Cricetulus griseus: one gene and its partner. The protein of the gene in region 1 interacts with the protein of each later gene in a biochemical or structural test. Links are inferred from orthologs where the notes say so. Each region holds a gene or a part of one and is shown in the gene's direction. Other genes may lie near its edges. The genes, in order: Pias3 and Mitf.

Region 1 (4,561 bases):
AGGGCTGTTTATTTTTTGCATGCTCATTGTATAACAACTTGCCTCTGAAGTAGACTGAGCTTTTGAAAGGTTTTAAGCCCTCAGCACCTAACAATCCCTCATTAGCAGTTTAATATTTACCTCCCCCCCTTGTCAAATACTTACTGAACAAATGACAATATTCCTTAGGCCCCAAACAACTATAAAATGTGGAGTTTTGTTTGTTTTACAATAACTAGTATATAAGGCACACTGCCCTAGAGTCGCTATCTTCATAAACATAGAAATGAATTACTCTAGTCTGCGAGTGCGTGGCCTACTGGGGAAGGGCAAAGCTTTGGAGGAGGGAGTAGGCATTTCAATGAGGGACAAAAATGTTTCCTTTGTTCGTGTTCCTCCCCTGTGTTCATTTTGAAGGACACCAAAACTGTGAGATACCTAGTTACTGTAAGCACATTTGAAGGTCGGGTGATAGAGGGCCATCTGTAGGGTTTGCATTGTTTATTTTTCCATTTGTAGCCTTAGGCTTTCCCCTAGGCAGATGGAGATTTCATCCTAGAACCTTTTTAAGCAACCAGGTTCCCGGTGCACACAGTCCTGCCTCCCTGCCCAACCCAGTCCTTACACTCCCGCAAGGGATCACAGGGTCACCGAGACTTTTGGAAAGCTTCTCTCCTAAGCGCTCCCAAGAGTTAACATCTCGCGCCGGGCTCCTGGGCTCCGCCCCTCTCCCCTCTCCGAGGTCCTGGCGGGTTTATCCCGGAGGGGGCGGCCGCAGCAGCAACGCTCGGCCGGGAGGAGCTCTGGTCCGGGCGGAGCTGCGGCTGCGGCGTCCCCCTGCCTGCCTGCCTGCCTGCCTGCCGGACGGGACCGGACCGCTCTCTCGCTGCACAGCCTGCGGGAGCAGCGCGGGCCCTTTCCGCGCCGGGGCGCACTCCCGCAACTCTGCAGGTAAGTCTGGCCTCCCGCACCCAACTTTGTGGCTGCTCGAGCCTGGCGTCGTGTGGCGCCAGCAGGAGCTACGCTCGGAGTGGCTGTGTGTCCGGGGGAGGAGGCGAAGGACCGGCCACAGCCATCTCACCCAACTCCCCCCTAAACCGGGCAGGAGCGCCGCACTCCCAGAGTTGGCAGAACTCTGGGGGTTTCGCGGGCTAAACTTTTAGCAGCTCGGGGTGGGGGGGTGGTGGAGGGGACGACGACGACGGGACACGGGCTCCAACTTCGCCGCCCCTCCCCCACGCGGTGGAGCCCCGGCAGGGCAGTTCCGGATGCTTTTCCCTCCGTCTTTCAAGTCTCCTCGGCTCCCCCCCCCCCGCAAAAAAAAAAAGCCCGTCCCTTCGGGCCCGCCCCCTCCTCGTTACCCGCAGGGCCTCGCGGTCCCTGGGCCGCGCTCTCCCCGCGGGGCCACCGCGCCGCCCGCCCGCCCGCCGGCCGCTCGCCGGCCGGCCGCGCCGCCGGAGACTTGCCTCGGGCGGCGGGGCTGCGGAAGAAGGGGCGAGGCCGGCGGCCGTCCGAAGCCCGGCGGGCGGGGCCGGGAAGGGGAGGTGTAGGGGGCCGGACGGGGCGGAGCAGGCGGCCTTTGCGGCCGGCGCTGGGGCGGAGAGTTTGCGCCGGTCCCTGGGCCTGAGCTCCGGCTCGGGCTGGGGCGCCTGCGATGTCTCAAGATGGCGGAGCTGGGCGAGTTAAAGGTACCTGCCCCCTCCCCCAGCCCCGTCAGGACTCGCCCGGCCGCGCGCCGAGGCGGGGAGGCGACCCGGCTGGGCGCCGCGGGCCGCGGTGGGCGCGGGCGACGTGTCAGGGACGACGGGCTGCAGGGATGCGCGGGCAGCGGCCGCGGGAAGAAGGGGCTGCGGCGGCAACCCCGGGGCGGGGCCCCGCAGGGCAGATGTAGGGGTGGGGTGGGGCGGAGGGGGAAAATTGTCGCTGCCGCCGGGGGGGGGGGGGAGACACCCGCGGCATAGGGGGCGGGGACGTGGGCCGTAGCCGCTTTTAGTAGGAGGTTTTGCAGGGTAGCGTCAGGCGAGAGACAGCCGCTCCAGAGGCGTAGGGGCGAGTCCCATCGGGGCAAGAGATGCGGCAGTAAAGGGGAGACGTAGGGATGGGAGCCGAAGGCCACCCAAATGTTGGCAGGCTCCCGGGGACGTGCGGCTGAGGATGGAGGCTCCCGGGCTGCTGCTGTTGGCATCTGAGCCTTGGGAAGTACCAGTTGGCAGCTGAGACGTAGGGGGCGGGGCTGTATGGGAGTGTACCTGAAGGGATGGGGCAGGAGCATCCTGATGGCTGAGGGGAGGGAACTGTCTTAACGAGGCTCTCTGTCTTGGGAGAGGTGGAGGAGTGTGAGCCATGGGATAGAAAATAAGTTACAAAGCCAGCGGAGAAATTAAAAAAAAATACAAATAGGAGGAGGTGAGAATGGAAAGGTAGAAGGACAAGGTTTTCATCACATCCCTGAAAAGGAGCCCAAGAGGAAAAGAACTTGGAGAGCTAATGACCTGCCCACGACTAGGTCTTGTAGGCATTTACAGAAGGGAGCCCTACAAGGAGGACATCCCTCGGAACCTTGGACCTTCCTTCCCCCATCTTCTGGCTTTGCTCCGTCCTTGTCCTAGACAGGCTTGAGTTCTAGCCACCTTTTAAGAGCTTACTTTTGAGCCGGGCAGTGGTGGCACATGCACTAGGGAGGCAGAGGCAGGAGGATCTCTGTGACTTCGAGACCAGCCAGGGGTACACAGAGAAACTGTCTCAAAAACAAACAAAAGAAGAGCTTACTTCTGTGCGGTGGTCCATGGACATCAGTATCATTTTTCTGGGATCTCTGTTGAGAACTTTGCCCCTGGTTTCCACCCCTGTGGGTGTGTATACCATGTATGAGGGAGTAAATCAGGTCAATTACCTAGACATGTGGATTAACCCTTCTCCCCTACAAGTTTTGATAGCTTCCTTCTAGTAAAACAGGACTAAAAGAGTGTGGGTATGTATATAATATAAAAAGTGTGTGTGTGGTGGTGAGATGATGATGATGATGAAATGTTGAACTTTGACCTAAAACTCCTGACCATAGAAGCTTCAATTCAGAGATATGGGGAGAATAAATGGATTGAGGTGATTGGGAGGGGCGGGCTGTGGTATACAATCCTCTAGCCACCTGGCCTTTTTCTTCCTCATGGGGCTGCCTGCCCCGAATCCTTCTCTTCCTCCTCCTGTCCTATCCTTTTCCCAGGAGGCTAGGAACACCCTAAGAGTCTGAGCCCTGGAGAGACTATAATCAGCTTAAGGGAATGTCTGGATCAGGGGTGGGGATGGGGCTAAGTGGTCCCTGTGGTTTCAGCTAGTCAGGTCAGCTACTTGGAGGTAGTGCACTAGTTTTAGAAGTACCTTCCAACACCGAGGGTGGAGGGGAGAGGCACTGTCCCCCCAGGAGTTCTGCTTCTGTCATCAGCAGGACAGGCTTTTGTGACGTGGCATGGGATTATTTCTGTGCTCTTCTCCTAGCACATGGTGATGAGTTTCCGAGTGTCTGAGCTCCAGGTGCTCCTTGGCTTCGCTGGCCGGAACAAGAGTGGACGGAAACACGAGCTCCTGGCCAAGGCCCTGCATCTCCTCAAGTCCAGCTGTGCCCCCAGTGTCCAGATGAAGATCAAAGAACTTTACCGCAGGCGCTTTCCCAGGAAGGCCCTGGGGCCCTCTGACCTTTCCCTGCTCTCCTTACCCCCTGGCACCTCCCCTGTAGGCTCCCCTGGCCCTCCAGCTCCCATCCCTCCCTCCCTTCTAACCCCTGGGGCCCTGCTGGGCCCTAAGCGCGAGGTGGACATGCACCCACCTCTGCCCCAGCCAGTGCACCCTGATGTCACCATGAAACCGCTGCCCTTCTACGAAGTCTATGGGGAGCTCATCCGGCCCACCACCCTCGGTATGGCTGGGCTATGGTCCCTCAGAGTTCCTTTCTGGACTCTGGTTCAGGCTCGGGTTTTTTTTTCTTCTTAGATTTTAGTGTTGTAGAACCAGCAATCTGGGATGGGAGCAAGTAGCTTCCCAGGCATGGGCTTGGGAATGACTGTGTGTTTGTGTCCTCAGCATCCACCTCCAGCCAGAGGTTTGAGGAAGCGCACTTTACCTTTGCCCTCACTCCCCAGCAGGTGCAGCAGATTCTCACATCCAGGTACATCTCTCATCCCTGCCTTGTCTGTGGGGACTTTCCCCCCTGCCTTTGCCTCTGCCTTTCTTCTCTGTTCTACATCGTCTCTTGTTCTTCTGCCTGTCTTCTGTCTGCACCCTGGACATCTTTCTCTCTGCCTAGCCCCACCCTCTGAATTGACATTTCTCTTTCTATTGCAGAGAGGTTCTGCCAGGAGCCAAGTGTGATTATACCATACAAGTGCAGCTAAGGTGAGTTGCTTCTTAACAAGGATGGGTGCTACGTAGGGGTATGGCATACTCATCTGCTTGTTCTGCCCAGTCCACTCTGGATGCTGGGCACTGCAAATTAGTTCTGACTGCTTTTTGTCTAGAGTTCCCTGCTTCAGTCATCTCAGAAAACTGCCACTTACCTGTCCTTTCTCACCAGGTTCTGTCTCTGTGAGAC
Region 2 (4,351 bases), on another chromosome or scaffold:
TAAGAAATTTTAAAAAGTGCTTCTTTGTGAGGCAAGAGATGGGAATGGGTAATTCCCAGGAGGTGCCCAACCACCCGTGTAGACTTCTTAGGACAATCATTTAATTTATTACTTCTGAAAGTGTAAACACAGGAAGAGATGCTAGTTTGAAAAGAATGTCTTAATCTGGGCAAAAGAAACAGCCAAAGTTAATGCTGTTCTTTGAGCAGCATTTTAATTAACGAGTTAATTAATTGATTAATTGTGTGGGTACCTGCATGTGGCTGTCAGTAGACAGCTTTCAGGAGTTAATAGTTACCTGCTTCCACGCAGGGGTCCCGGGGCATCAGTCTCAGGTTGCCATGTTTGTAGACAAGTACATTTATTTACGAGCCATCTTGCTTGCCCTGCAGTTTACCACATTGCCAGTCAATTTTTCTTAATTTGACCTTGCAACACCAACTCCAACAGGTTTCCTAATCTCTTCTTTTATAAATGAGGAAATTGAGGCTTCTGGGAGTCAAACTGATGTATCTAAGACTACACAGGATTTATTAGAAGAAATCAGGATTTCTACAATCTTAAACACCATTCTTAACACTGATGTCTCAAAGCACCTGTTTTATGTGAAATGAAGAACCCTAATGGAACTAATTAGAAGACAGGTCTACAAGTACAAATGTGTTAAAGTGCAGTCATTTAATACATTACCTAGCTCAGTGCCTTGAAGCTGCACGGGCTTGCAAAGTTAGGACAATCTCACTTGAACTCCCAGCCAGCTGAGAAATTGAAAGCAGACAGTGGCGAAGCTGTTTGGTAACTTGGTGCCTTTTAAAATGAACTGGATCCTCCAAGTGCTGCTTTGGATTAGAGGTAACTAATTGGATAAAAGGAAAGGAGCCTTTCAGCTGATGAAGAGTATTGTAAGAGCCCAGACTTGAGTGAGTTCCAGAAAAGGAACGCACAAGAACAACTTCTCCAATAATGTTCTCATTACAAAGGAGTAGTTTCCAACACTCAGTTTCAATTGAGGACAAGACGATATGTCGCTGCAGCCCGGAGAAGCTTAGGGGCAGCGGGGGGTGGGGGCGAATAGAAAGCCCTTTTATTTTAAAATGGGCTTTAACTCTGAAACTTTTCTAGTGCCAAACCCTGTAGTGTTTTATTTTTTAAATGAACCCTTGGCGTGCCCTCACAGATGTCTGAGCTGGGAGGGACAGTAGGAGACCAGGCTGAATCCGTTGTTATTAATATTAAACAGCCAGGTCTGTACCCTTGAAGCAAACGGGAGAGACGCGGAGAGGAGCTGCTGACATTGACAAGGAATCCAAACAGGACTTGCACTATCGGTACACACCACGTTGCCGCTCCCCGGCTCGGCCTTCTGGGAGTTGTAGTCTTGGAGGAAGCTGCTCTCCTATAGAGCTGGTAGGCTCTGCAGGAAGGAACTACAAATCCCAGGATGCATCGGGATCGGCCCCTCCCGCTCTGATGCCAGTGTAAACTCACCGCGCCGGGGCGGGCGGTCGGCTAGCGGGCTTAGCGGGGCACTGCGCAGGGCGCGTGGCTTGGGGGACTCAAGTGCCCCCCCCCCATCTTCGTCAGGTGCCGGGGTTCTGCTCCAAGTTCCAAGAAGTGGAAGGCGGGCAAGCGGGAGCCATGCAGTCAGAATCTGGGATTGTGGCGGATTTCGAAGTCGGGGAGGAGTTTCACGAAGAACCCAAAACCTATTACGAACTCAAAAGTCAACCTCTGAAGAGCAGGTGAGTGGTGACAGCTGGAGGGAGGCGCGGCTGGAGGCCCAGGGGCCCCGCGCTTGCTACCCTGGGACGGGAACAGCCAGTCTGAATAGCTGTGGGACAAGGACCCCGTGCCCTTGCCTTGGGGTACAGGGAGACTTGACCCCTGGCATCTGGGGTCCTGCTCTCAGAGACTTGCTCGCATCCTAGGGTGTCTGACAGACACTTCGAGGGCACCATGGCTCTCTTGGGATGGCTCATCCAGGCGCGGGGACCCTTGGCTGCACATGCCAGCTGCTGAGCTGAATGGGGGCTGGGGCTGTACCCTGCTGGCCGAGGTGGGGTAAGAGGAGCACCTGATACGGACCGTGACCTGGTGCTATACCCAGTGGCAGAGTTTTTTCTGAGGATCATAGCAGGCTGAGGGCTGGAGAGGGAGAGCTTGGAGTGGATGGAGATCCGATGCTCCAGGGAAGCAATAAACTGGCCTGGAGTATCTCCTTGTAGTTCAGCTTCTTTGGGAGAGACTGCTCCGGGTGGTACCTAGGTGAAGTTCACCGGGGCTTTTTCTGCCACCTGCCACCTGGGAGCATCTGTACCCCCCCACTCCCGGGGTGGGGGTGGGGGGCAGGCAGCGGGTGGGCGTGTCTCCCCAAGCTCTTAGGAATAGAGCTCCTGGCAAATGCAAAAAGAAGGGACAGAGGGAGACAAGGAGGGAAGGAGGGAGGGAGGACAGGAGGGAGGACCGGAGGGAGGGAGGAAGGAAAGAAGGAAGGAAAGAAAGAACGAAGAAAAGCTACTTCAGAGGCCTGTGGTGGTTGGGAATGATCTCTTTTTGGCTGCTACACAAGTTTAATTCCCCAGGCACTTCAAAAACTTTGGGACTTGAGTGAAGATGCCCTCTGGTCTGGTGCCTCCCACCTCTGTACACCTGCAACACCCTTATCCTTTGCATCATGGTCTATTGCTATTTGGCTGGCAGAATCGGTTATCTTCCCTTTTCACTCTCTTTGATCACTCTGGATCCCTAGCACTTCTTATTTGTGAGAATACAGAGAGGGGGATGGTCACTGAAATCTGTGATAGCCAAAGAAAGGCTTTATTTCCACCCCTTTCATTTGTGAGATGAGATAAGGCTGAGGTTGGAAGCATTATCACTTTGTCCATCAGTTGAGACTAGGGTCTAGGTGAGTTTCCCCTGGCAGAGGGGCAGAGAGAAAAGGAGGATGAGTCTTAACTCTGCTGGAAAGTGGAGCCAGGTTACTTTCCTTCAGGCCTGGGGCAGGACCTTGAATCCAGTTAGGCGAACAAACTCTGGGAAGAGCAGATGTCCCTGGCTGCCCTTGCTAAAGCAGGCTTTTTGCACATGCTTGTGGCAGAGTGGAAGGAAATGTGTTAGGCATTGAGATGCATTAACTTGGCCCTTCACTGGTGGCTCCTTTTATAATGGCTATTTTGTATGTGAACGTGGATTGTGTGTATTGGGTGCTCTGAGTGAGATTGTGTAAGGGGTATTGTTGGCTATGCTAGTTAGGGCTTTATCTGCATGTGGCTGAAGGGACCAGTGTTTTACTGAGCAGCCCCTGCTTTTGCTTCTATAAGCAAATGCTCACATGGCCAGAATGAGAGGGTGTGTGTGTGTGTGTGTGTGTGTGTGTGTGTGTGTGTGTGTGTGTGTGTGTGTGTGTGTTCCTGAAAGAAATGAATTAACTGGACTGTTTAGAACATTTATATGATGGGTAATACATTAAATGAGTTTGAGGGAGTGAGGAAAATATGCTTTGGAGAAAGCCAGTGAGTGCCCTGATACTTATGTGGAAGGATTTGGTTCTGTTCTTTGTCACAGTCAGGAGCTCATGTTCTTTGTAGCTAGCTAGCTAGTATGGGGAAAGAAAACTGTAGGTAAGTGGGCATAAAGAACTTCACATGTTGGTACCAGAAGCCAGGTAGGATGGAGGAGACATATGCTCTTTGAAATAAACCAGTTAAATAAAATCTGTGAGTAAGTATCTGGAGTGGGTGACATTTCCTTATACTGTTTATGACAGTTGTCCTAATGGTATTGTCATTTGCATATGTTTTGTAACCTTAAATGGGCTTCATGTGGTTCAGGGTCTTCTCCTTGTTTTTAATTTGGAGTCTTTACTGGGGCCCCCCTTAAGTCCTGGTTGGGAAAAAAGTTGTAATGAAAGTTGCAGACTCTTATAACAAGACCATTTATGTATTGTTTAGATCAGAGGTTCTCAACCTGTGGGTGTTGATGCCTTTGGGTTTGAATGACCCTCTCCAGGGGATGCATATCACAAAGCCTTCGTATCAGATAATTAAATTACAATTCATTATAATAGCAAAATTACAATTATGATGTAGCTACAAAAGTAATTTTATGTTGGGGGTCACCATGACATGATGCGCTGTATTAAAGGGTTTAATCATTTGAGAACCACTGGTCTAGAATGTTCCAAAATTCACCTATGTCTTGCCTATTTCTCTTCGGTGACACTGGCCAAGTCAGTGTCAGTCCTTGCCTGGGTTATTGAATCAATCTCTTAATTCTCTCAGCCTTGGCCACTTTTAGATTTTTAATTTAGCAGCCACAATAATCTTATTAAACTGATTTTCTTTTAGGGCTG

The links.
Region 2: the proteins of Pias3 (region 1) and Mitf form a complex in vitro, tested with the Homo sapiens proteins (2 studies listed by BioGRID). The link is inferred for Cricetulus griseus from reciprocal best matches to the Homo sapiens genes PIAS3 and MITF.

Annotation. Positions count from the first base shown.
Region 1 is NW_023276806.1:59,801,046-59,805,606, reverse strand, and holds the start of Pias3 (E3 SUMO-protein ligase PIAS3), read left to right. Parts: upstream 1-1,517; 5' UTR 1,518-1,643; coding exon 1,644-1,667; intron 1,668-3,471; coding exon 3,472-3,889; intron 3,890-4,053; coding exon 4,054-4,138; intron 4,139-4,314; coding exon 4,315-4,365; intron 4,366-4,543; coding exon 4,544-4,561. UniProt on the Homo sapiens protein: Functions as an E3-type small ubiquitin-like modifier (SUMO) ligase, stabilizing the interaction between UBE2I and the substrate, and as a SUMO-tethering factor.
Region 2 is NC_048601.1:46,121,664-46,126,014, reverse strand, and holds the start of Mitf (microphthalmia-associated transcription factor), read left to right. Parts: upstream 1-1,482; 5' UTR 1,483-1,638; coding exon 1,639-1,742; intron 1,743-4,351. UniProt on the Homo sapiens protein: Transcription factor that acts as a master regulator of melanocyte survival and differentiation as well as melanosome biogenesis.